Linked DNA regions of Danio rerio. The protein of the gene in region 2 interacts with the protein of the main gene of each other region in a pairwise test. Links are inferred from orthologs where the notes say so. Each region holds a gene or a part of one and is shown on either strand. Other genes may lie near its edges.

Evidence for each region.
Region 1: the proteins of nudt18 (region 2) and dhps interact in binary tests that used the Homo sapiens proteins (3 or more experiments, as listed by UniProt). The two-hybrid records come from large-scale screens. The link is inferred for Danio rerio from reciprocal best matches to the Homo sapiens genes NUDT18 and DHPS.
Region 3: the proteins of nudt18 (region 2) and nadkb interact in a two-hybrid assay, tested with the Homo sapiens proteins (2 studies listed by BioGRID and IntAct). The two-hybrid records come from large-scale screens. The link is inferred for Danio rerio from reciprocal best matches to the Homo sapiens genes NUDT18 and NADK.

What each region holds. Positions count from the first base shown.
Region 1 is NC_133178.1:11,965,816-11,969,478, forward strand, and holds part of dhps (deoxyhypusine synthase), read right to left. Parts: coding exon 3,640-3,663; intron 1,807-3,639; coding exon 1,685-1,806; intron 1,534-1,684; coding exon 1,437-1,533; intron 224-1,436; coding exon 137-223; intron 69-136; coding exon 1-68. UniProt on the Homo sapiens protein: Catalyzes the NAD-dependent oxidative cleavage of spermidine and the subsequent transfer of the butylamine moiety of spermidine to the epsilon-amino group of a critical lysine residue of the eIF-5A precursor protein to form the intermediate deoxyhypusine residue.
Region 2 is NC_133183.1:55,665,289-55,669,715, reverse strand, and holds the start of nudt18 (8-oxo-dGDP phosphatase NUDT18), read right to left. Parts: upstream 2,944-4,427; 5' UTR 2,892-2,943; intron 543-2,891; 5' UTR 533-542; coding exon 380-532; intron 1-379. UniProt on the Homo sapiens protein: Mediates the hydrolysis of oxidized nucleoside diphosphate derivatives. Hydrolyzes 8-oxo-7,8-dihydroguanine (8-oxo-Gua)-containing deoxyribo- and ribonucleoside diphosphates to the monophosphates. Hydrolyzes 8-oxo-dGDP and 8-oxo-GDP with the same efficiencies.
Region 3 is NC_133177.1:40,241,300-40,244,766, reverse strand, and holds the end of nadkb (NAD kinase b), read left to right. Parts: intron 1-1,896; coding exon 1,897-2,056; 3' UTR 2,057-2,810; downstream 2,811-3,467.

The DNA of each region.
Region 1 (3,663 bases), on a different chromosome or scaffold from region 2:
GAGTGGAAGTAGATCATGTCGCCTAATGAGCCATCAGTGAGGGCGGGACTAAACACTGGGATGTCATTCTGGAAAAACGATCATCCAATAGTTATTGAGGAAGGACTGATGTGAATGTATTTGATTCATGCGTTACCTTGTAGGCCCAGTAGTAGACCGAGTCAGGGTTGTTGATTTCTTTGCCCAGTCTGTGGATCATTTTGGAGGGTGTCCAGTGTGTGCCCTGATGACAAGCGTTCGATATTTAGTATTGGACAGAAAAAGTAATTAATTTAATTCAATTTAAAATATGTTGCAAATAAAATACAAAATTTTACAAATTCAATATTAAAAATATTAATAAAAATAATTAAATGAATTGTTGAATACATCAAGTGAAAAATAATTAAATAAAATATTAACTTAATTTCTTTCTTAAAACTTTCCTAACCATTTTCTCCAGGTTTACAAATACTGAATCACACAAATAATATATACATTTATATAATAAATTATAAACTATTAAAATGTATTGAAAAACAATTACATTTAAACAATCCAACTGACAGAAATTAAATACATTTAAATGACTAAATTAATTAATTTGATTAATTTAGAAATTTAAATGTATTTAATTTTAGTCACAAAGATCAATTTAATTTTAAAAAAGCTATATTAGTAAAATGAAATTAGTAAAAATCAATTTAATAAAAATAGAATAATCTCACCTCTATTTTTTTTTACAACACCACACAATAAAGAATATGTATTTCTTCAAATATTTACATTAATAAGTCCAACAAATAAATAGTGCTTTAATAAAATATTAATATAATAATACAGTCATCTAACTTCTGTTTTTGTACCAACATTATTTGATCCAAAATAAAATATTTACCACACCCAATATATTTAATTATACAAACATATATTGACTGCCGCTCTACCAAATGGTTGACCATGTTTTTACCGTTTTAAATAATGACTGTTAAAGTAATTTAAAGAATTACTGTTTTCAATAATGGTTTATGCACACAGCATTGTTAGTTTACAAAAAATAAAAAAATTAAATCAAACATAATCCTGTTGCACTATTACTACACTTGATTTTGGTTTTACTGTAAATAAAAACAAAACAAAAACAACAAGAAAACTTGTTAAATGAGGACCTGAAATATTTTATGACATGGCGATTTAGTGTTTAAAAATTTTTTTTTGAATATTTTTTATAAATAAATTGGTCGTACACTTCATATTTTCAGATTTTTCATAGTAAATGTATTAATTCCAGTACTTTTACCATAAACTGACATCAGCCATTTGGTAAAGGCTGATATTTTAGAAATTATGGGATGTGTTGTGGAAAATTGCATTGAGTGTGTTAACTAGCGACATGCACTCCAAACGTTTTTTTCTTGGTGGGGTAGTTAAAGGATTAAATAAATGAAACTCCTCACCTCTGTTTTTTGCTCCAGCACCATTTGGTCCAGAATCGGCATCAGCCAGTCTTCAAATTTACAGTAATTTTCATTCGGCACCAGGAGATTACCTATTCTATGACACAAAGTATCATTATATACAATAATAATTGCACTAAAAACTTTACAATTGTTTAAAAATGAAGTTTATATATATATATATATATATATATATATATATATATATATATATAAATATATATATATATATATATATATATACATACCTATTAATTCCTTGCTGCCGCAGCTCTTTTCCTTTCAGACTGAACTCTCCAAGGAAAGTTGGAGCTAAACATTTAATAAGGTCTTCTTCAATCCCTCCTGCTGTGGTCACGATCACATCTACCTACAAAAAAACATCACAATATTACATAACAAAGACATTTAGGGCTCTATTTTGACGGTCCATGCGCAGAGTGCAAAACGCAGAGCGCAAAACGCAGGGTGCAAATGCTTTCAGGGCGTGTCAGAACGCATTTTTGCTAATATAAGGACGGGAAAATCCGTTTTGTGCCATGGCGCATAGTCTAAAAGGGTTGAGTTTATTTTCTTAATGAGTTATAGGTGTGTTTTGAGAATAAACCAATTAGAGTCTCATCTTCCATTCCCTTTAATAGTCAGCTGCGTGGCGCCAAGAGCGCATTCGCTATTTACAGGACGCAAAGTAAGTCTAAGTGGAAAAACTGAGCATTTCACAAGCAAACAGTTAACAGTTTTTTTTAACAGAAAACTGTTAAACAGAGCATCTACTGCGTGAGAATGAGAGATAATGGATCACTTTCACTTTCGCTCTAGGATAGGAAAACCTTTACGCACAGACATCAATTAGTCTATAAATAATTAATTTAGTTTGTTAAGCGCAAAGATTCGTTTCAAAACTATTTCTACATTCAGTTCTAATTTCCAGCAAACGAATAAATGAACAATAATAACAGCAAAATGTGCTCAAAAACCTGAGCTATATCCTAAAACACATGCTGTGCCCCATATGGTCTAAAACCTGCAGGTGGGCAAATCTAAGCTTGTTTTTAATAAAACAAATATAAATATGGATATAATAAATAATACTGCTAATAATAATAACATTATACAAAAGCAAATTGTTACGAATGAACTGAAAAAGCCTCCCGAGATGAAGAGACATAAAAGCAGTGATTTTTCATATTTATGTAGGCTAGAAAATAATATGTTTTATTTTAATCCTTTATATTCATATCCTATATCTATTCTTATTATATACTATATATATCCTTAATATTTAAATTTTTTCATATGTAAAGATATTTGCCTATTGCTCTCTTGTGCGTATTAAGCAGTGTGTAAGCGAGGCGCAACTCTGCGCCGGAGTTTAGACCGGGTTTGTTTTGGTCTAATGTAAAATCTATTATAGATTCTCAAAATAGCAACGCGCCAGCGGTCCGCCTCAGAACGCCTTCCTTTTTAGACCAGAACGCCTATGGGCGCACAAATGAGCGCTAATGCATTTGCTATTTAAACAGCGTAGTGTAACGCCTCAAAACAACTCTTGCGCCAAGCTGAAACTAGCAAACAAGTATTGCGCCACGCCTTGTGCCACATTGCGCCAGGTGTATGATAGGGCCCTTATTATTAGCACTCCTGAATTATTAGCCTCTCTGCATATTTCCCCCCCACTTTCTGTTTAACAGAGAGAATATTTTTTTCAACACATTGCTAAACATAATAGTTTTAATAACTCATTTCTAAAAACTGATTTATTAAAATTGCGTAAAAGTAATTTACTCCATTTTGGAATAAGACTGTAACATAAAAAAATGTGGAAAAAAGTGAAGCGCTATGAATACTTTCCGCATGCACGGTCTAGATTGCCAAAACAAACATTTATTTTGCATGTGATTAATGTTTTCCCAACATTAATAACATAAAAATAACAAAAGTAAATCCAAACATACTACTTACTATAAAAGAATGGTAAAAAGGTGTAGTAAAGCCCATTTATAATAGTCTTTTGTGTCCGACGCATGCACTATCAATGTTAAATATGTCTGTTTGCTTGTTTTCATCATGATTCCTGCCATACTACAAGTTCTAGTAAATACTGCCTGGTTATTTTCCACCCACCCAATATGCTTTTTTTTGTTAATATTCAAAATGTTGTTGTTTTTTGAAGTGCAAGCCATAGTTTGAAAGGAAGTGGTACCATCTTGTGCTGTGTGAGGTATCG
Region 2 (4,427 bases):
TTTTAAAAGGAAGTCCTCAAAACCCATTGAAATTTTAAGAATATTAGGTTTTCTTGTGGATTATATATGAACAGGACACAAATACTGTATGTGCATCCCAAAACATTCCTGAATGAGAATTGCATTAATCTTTTGTTCATTTTTGTTCATTATTAATCTATTTTCAAACCTAACTTGGTTTGAAATATCTTTCAATATTTAGATCATGGTCACATGACCAGTATGTAAATAAAGTACTGAGAATAATTCTTGAACACTGGCATACTGTAAATTAAGCCACATTGACTGTGCTGCCTTCAGTTTCATTCCTTGCTACCAAACAGTCTTGTTCCAGTAAATAGACAACACTCACATGCAAGAACAACAACACCATCTTTACCTTTGAATTGAAAATGACTGCGCCGACAATATAACACACGTTCTTCCTCAGTGTGACTGGGTCCACTTGTTCAGCGACTGAATCAAACTCGAGACCCTCACCCCTCAAAATCTTCTCCAAGTTCTCCTCCAGAATCGATGACTGCGAGTCCATGGCGGAGCTGCTTTAATTTGACAACAGAATGGAATTAATATCATCGTCAAATAAAGAGGCTGCCAAGAAGAGTCAGTTTTATTACAGTAAAAATACACTAGCCGGCCACTTTATTAAGTACACCTGTCAAAACTGCTGGTTAATGCAAATTTCTAATCAGCCGATCACATGGCAGCAACTCACTGCACTTAGGCATGTAGACATGGTCAAGACGATCTGCTGCAGCTCAAACCGAGCATCAGAATGAGGAAGAAAGCTGATTTAAGTGACTTTGAATGTGGCATGGTTGTTTATGCCAGACGGGCTGGTCTGAGTATTTCAGAAACTGCTGATTTACTGGGATTTTCACACACAACCATCTCTAGAGTTTACAAAGAATGGTCCGAAAAAGAGAAAAAGTCCAGTGAGCGGCAGTTCTGGGACGCAAATGCCTTGTTTACATCAGCAGTCAGAGGAGAATGGCCAGACTTGTTCCAGCTGATAGAAAGGCAACAGTTTAGTTTATTTATTTATTTAGTTTATTTATTTATATAGCACATTTTGTACAACACAACGTTGCCCAAAGTGCTGAACACAATCAATACTAAAAATAAAATCTACATCACACACATAGCAATTAAAACATAAGGCAAACCCCTCAACATTAAAAAGGCTCAAATACTAGAGAACAAAGATGGCGTTTCAAATGCTTTTTAAAAACAGGTAGAGTTGGAGCATGTCTGATGTGGGAAGGAAGCCCGTTCCAGAGTTTTGGGGCGACAACAGCAAAAGCCCGATCCCCACTCCGCTTACACCGGGACCTTGGTATAGATAGAATAAATTCATCAGAAGACCTCAGTTACCTACCAGGATTGTATACATGTAGCAGGTCTAATAAGTAAGATGGTGCCAGATCAATCCGTGACCTAACAGGCAGCCAGCCCAGAAAGGAAAGAACTGGGGATATGTGTGCAAACTTGCGAGTCCCTGTCAGAAGTCTCGCAGCCGCATTTTGTACTAATTGCAATCTATTTAGGGCATTTTGACTAATACCCACATACAGGGAATTGCAATAGTCAAGTCTTCCCAAAATAAAAGCATGGATCACCTCCTCAAGGTCATTAAAAATTAAAAGAAACGACTTTACTTTTGCCACAAGTCGTAAATGGAAAAAACTGGATTTAACAATTGTATTTAATTGCTTGTTAAATTTCAGATCATTGTCGAATTGAAATCCTAGGTTTCTAACAACAGGTTTTTGATAAGTGGAAAGCTCACCAAAACCTGATAAATGCAGAGGGATAGGATCGCCAAACCCGACCAGCTCAGTTTTGAAAAGTAACTCAAATAACCACTCGTTACAACAGAGGTATGCAGAAAAGCATCTCTGAACGCACAACACGTCCAACCTTGAGGCGAATGGGCTACAGCAGCAGAAGACCACACCAGGTGCCACTCCAGTCAGCTGAGAACAGGAAACTGAGGCTACAATTCGCACAGGCTCACCAAAATGGGACAATAGAAGATTGGAAAAATGTTGCCTGGTCTGATGAGTCTTGATTTCTGCTGCGTTATTCTGATGGTAGGGTCAGAATTTTGCTTCAACAACATGAAGGCATGGAGTTCTATACTATACTTATGGCAGGATAACGCACCATGCCATAAAGCGTGAATCACCTCAGACTGGTCTCTTGAACATGACAATATGTTCACTGTACTCAAATGGCCTCCACAGTCATTAGATCTCAATCCACTAGAGCACCTTTGGGATGTGGTGGCACAGGAGATTCACATCATGGATGTGCAGCTGACAAATCTGCAGCAACTGCATGATGCTATCATGTCAATATGGAGCAAAATCTCGGAGGAATATTTCTAATATAAATCTATGCCACGAAGGATTATAGCAGTTCACAAGGGCATCCAACCTGGTAGCCAACTAGTAAGGTGTACCTAATAAAGTGGCCGGTGAGTGTGTGTGTCTGTAGTTAAATCCTTGTAAAAACAAATCAATGCAATGCTATAGATTAACCACAACATTTGTAGTAACATTGTGGTAGTTAAATAAAAAAATGGTGGGTTATGCAACAAGAAATAATTGTTATTATATTTACTACAATTAAACCATGGCAATGTCATGACAAAGTTCCACAGAAGACGTATCTAATTATTTAATCTATTTATGAGTGTAACGTACAGCACAATGCCCCCCCCTACATTTGATTATTACACGACATTAAAGTAACATTGTGTTTGTACGCAAAATGACCTAAAGCAAAATAAATATGACGTAAGGTTACATAGTCTGAGATGACAAAGCATTATTACGAATAACTACTTAATACAACAACATTAAATTAAAACATCAATGTTTACTAACCCAGGTTGTCATAAAACAGACGCATGTAGACTCAAAACATCTCCTTCTTGTCTCGCGATAACACCTCTTTCGCGAGAACACTCATCTAGGGGTCATGTCAAATTCCCTTTTTTTTTTTTTTTTTTTGCAGTCTCGCTTTATTATTTTAGTTTTTTAATGTATTTGCTTCCTTGATGACAAATAATAGATTAATGTTAGTTACCTATAATTAAATAATAGCTTTTACAAAGAGAACAAGCTGTAGTTTAATTTCGTTTGAGGACTAGATAAATGTAGCTGCCAATTTTTAGACTATCCCTTACCTACAAGCTACAATGGCCATGTCCCAATACACAACTCTAGCGATCTTTACACTCGACTACGTCTACTTTCATGACAAACGTCCCATATTTGTTACCCTGTACTATAAAACAAGAAACTATTAAAGGCAGGTTTTGGTAATTAAGATTTATACATCACATTAATGATATCCCGACTTGGTCAGTTGGCATTTCTGTTTGGAGATGCATGTTCTCCCTGAGTGAGGGTTTCCTTAGGGTGCTCGGGTTTCCCCCACAGTCCAAAGACATGCACCGTATAGTATAGTATATATATATATATATATATATATATATATATATATATATATATATATATATATATATATATATATATATATATATATATATAGATATATATAGTGTATGTGTAAGAGTGTATGGGTGTTTACCAGTACTGGGTTGTGGCTGGAAGGGCATATGCTGTGTAAAACATATACTGAATAGGTTGAGGGTTCATTCCGCTGTGGTAACCCCTGGTGAATAAAGGACTGCTGAAATCAAATTAATGAATGAATTAAATCGGAATAACTACACTTTCTATTACCAACTAAGCTTACCAAGCTTACAATAAAATAAAAAATATAGAGAAACTCGCCTTTAAAGTTTTCTAGTGTTTAGCGATGCAAATTTTGTTTACAATGTAATATTTAGAAAATATCCTAATGGTCCTTACTCAATACAATGATTTTGGCATAAGAGAAAATTCAATTCTTTTGACCTACATGCATTTTTGGCTTTTGCCAAAATGATACTTGCACCAGGGTCACATTTGGGGTTTAAGTTAGTTTCAATAGAGCTTTATTAACACATTTAGCTCATTTACACGTTAACATGAACTACTTTTCTATTTTTGAGTTTACAAGAGGTTGAGTTTTTTTCTGGATAAGTTGGCGGTTCATTCCGCCCTGGATTTTTAAAGGGACTAAGGCGAAAAGAAAATTAATGAATAATAATAGTAATAAAAGTCCAAGAGGTAGGCAGAAAAACGTGATAACTATAATATATTCACACTGATTATAATTTCGATATTATTATTAATAATAAAACAACAACAGCTTTAACAATAGTTGAGGAGGTGGAAGTTATAAGATCAGCTTTGAAGTGGAGTGTTTGTCAGTTGCTTTGTGATGCATTAAAAAAGTGTGTCGTGTAGCATGGATCAGTCCAGTGCAATGCCCAGGCTGCCATGCCCACATCACACTTACCCTGTCAATGT
Region 3 (3,467 bases), on a different chromosome or scaffold from region 2:
GTTAGCAATTTTGAAAGATTTATATCAGCTTGTTTTTCAAGGGCATTTGCAGATTAATCAGATCATTTAAAGTCTGACTAGTAATTTCCCTCTTTTACCCACATTAACAAGAGCTAGGAGCACCACAAGGAAGTATCCTGTCACTGCTATTTTTAGTGACTCGGCGACATTGCGAAAGCCACTGGAAAGAATGTCATTATAGAGACTAATACAAAGAACCTGAACAGGAAACTCAACAGCCGTTAAACAGGGAAGACAAAAACAGAATTTTTTTGTGCAATAATTAGCATCTACCTCTGCCTTTTGGGTACAGAACTTTTTTTGGATGCAGAATGTTTCGTCCACAATGTGAGGAGAAAACTTGCAAACATACCGTACAGCATTTCAGAGTCACACTGCTAGTGATAAAAGATTTCTGTAATTTAGGAAGCTGAACGCTTTCTGTAGTGTACAGGAGACACGGCACAGAGCAGATTGATTGACAATGGTCTACAGCCAATCGCAGAACACAAACCGATGTCAAACTACACAAAAAAATCAGTGAAACTGAGAGACTGCGAAAAGTAAACGTAATGGCAAGGGTCGAGACCACTGTATGTTTGCAATCTATGAACTCTCCAACCTGATTCAGAGAGAATTTTGCAGGGACAAAAAAAAGTTCTTATTTCTCACATAAACTGAAAATATCAATGGGCTGGGACCATTTATATTGTACAAAGTTTTTAGACATTTTAGGTTAAAACATATTTACGAATCCAAATCGCAAATAAATAGCCAGATTTCCTTAACTTAGCCATCTTCATCTTGAAGAATCCCCCATTCCCTGACTTCTCCCCCCTTTATTTTTCTAGCATAATACTAGGGAGTTCTCAAGACTTACCTGAGCTCAGGCTCACCTCTCCCCGTATGAAACCAGAGGGAGCCCCAAGCTTGAACATCTTCTGACCTCAGGGCTCTTTCCTGAGACAGCATGCTAAAGCCATGGCTATTTTAAAAGTTTTTAGACATTTTAGGTTAAACCATCTCTTTGTAATAAGATGATGTGGGATTTCGTAATAATATTATCGTAATAATATTTTCCTAATATACTTAACCACGCCCCTCCATCTGTCAGTACCTCAGACAGACGTGATGTGAGAATTGAATTGAAAACACACAGGATGCACATTTTCAGGTTTTTCCAGGGCAAATATTTACTTATTTTTCTTAATGACACACACAGATGAATTGTTTGTCACAAAACTAGCAATGTGAGCTAACAAAACCAATATGGTTAGTTTTGATTTCAGGTGCTCTTTAAAACAGTCACCCTGCATTTGTTTTATTTGACAAAATTCTGAAACTAGAGGCTTATTTTAGATCTATTAACAATTTATCTTAAAAGCAGATGTCAATCAGAGGAGCTGACAAACTATATATACTACAAACAAACTCCATTCAGTGAGCCTAAATGTCTGGAAAAACCAGTTTTCAAAGCAATAGAGCTGGATTGTTTAACTCGATGATACTAAATAGTCCATTTCATGTTGGCACAAGTTTTGACGTACCATGAATCAGTCTTTACTCTGTGGCGTGTTCAGTTAATAAAAGTGGAAGTTTGTTTCTCCACTGAGCTTTGATGCTCTTCAATTTTATAGTGAAATGTGTGGCAAAAATATCAGATGGGTTTACATTAGGGAGAAATGATGGTTTCCCATTCATTTCCAACATGAGCAACACTCAGATAATCTATTTTCCTCCTATTATTTAACTGTTTTGAATTGTCGATTGTTTAAATGGGAATGATATCTCTAGCTCTGCCTTCTATTTGTTGTTCTGATTATGGTCTTTGGCGTGAATGAGTTGTAACTCTCTGTGGAATCTCTTCATCGTCATAGTTTGTTTTTCTTTCCACAGCATTAAGATCACAACCTCCTGCTTTCCAGTCCCCTCCATATGCTGTCATGATCTGGTTTACGACTGGTTTGACAGTCTGGCTCAGTGTTTGCACTGGAACGTCCGCAAAAAGCAAACACGTCTAACAGACGCCAGCGACTCCTCCGAAACTGAAAACTGAAGCATCACCATCAAACGCTCGCAGGCTGTTCAATTCACATTCCAGGAGTTTCTTTGCCTTAGAAATAATGCTTTAGTCAGAGGTTAGCCTGGATTGCTCATCATTTGATTGCAACAGGACGTTTTGTTTGGTTAAGTGTATGTGAAAGTGTCATTGTGTTAGAACAGGCAGAGATGATTCTGTTTTAACTAATACATTAAATGAGCAAGGTTTATTTAACATCATATTGTTTTCTGCACATTCAGCACTTCTAAATTGTTGCTTGAGAAACGCATTAATGGATTAGAAATGAACGGGAATTAACTTTTCCTATGAATGTCAGTTGAATAAATTTGACCACAAGCACACAGAAAGCTTTGTGTGTGTGGTCTGTTATGACAGTAGTTCCTCATTTCATGTAAAAAACACGACATGTTAAGTCAGGCGGGAGTCTGTCAACACCGAGCAGTTGTGGAAGCGCTCTGTAGCCCCCCTGTGGCCATACCGGATGTTGCTGCACGTAACGCATTTTTAAAACCCCTATTCGTTAACTTTACCATTTAAGTTGGTTTTTATCCAATTGATTAATTTTACAGATGCTCCGTATTTTGCATTTCTTATCAAATAGTCCAAGTCCTGCAAAGTCATATCAGCCACAATCTAATATAGCTGAATGTATCTGGTAAGCTGTTTACCTTTTGATGTAAATAAGAGATCCTATAAAAATGTATTTGTCTTGTTTGTATTATTTCAATAAAAGTAATGTTGGATGTTGTTTCGTTTTTGTCACTTGAAAACATTTCAGGGACTCTTTATTAAACTAATGTTCTCATGTAAAAAAGAAAACCAATCCTGTGTCATTTACACCAGGTATGAATATTACTGTGGAAACCGCCCTGATGAATCAAATCCTAGAACCGCCGCTGTTCATAAAACCACTTTATCCTCTATTTTGACAGCAAAGGCATAGTTTGGGCTTTTTAGGTTATAATTTAGATTTATTTACAATTGTTAATTTTACATTTTGACATCTTGTAATTTAACTGTCTTTTTCTGACTTTACAACCCATAACTATTCATTTATCTATTTCATTAATCTCATTAGTTTAACTTTATTTTGTTAATTTTACAACCCATAATTTAAAAAATCTTGACTGTCAATTTTGACATTATCTCATAATTTTGTCTGACTATTTGTGTATGACTATTTGTCTTGATTTTTTACTTCACAACTCAGTTTCACATTTTTTGACTCAATTTTTCCATTACTGATTTCTGTTCTTCAACTGTACTAATAATTGTAAATTTAACTGTCTATTTTGACATTTTATCATGATTCTGACTTTTTTTTTTAACTTTACAACTCATAATTTTAAGTTTTATGATGTTGACACGTCTCGTAATTTTGACTTGTTTTCTGACTTTACAAATT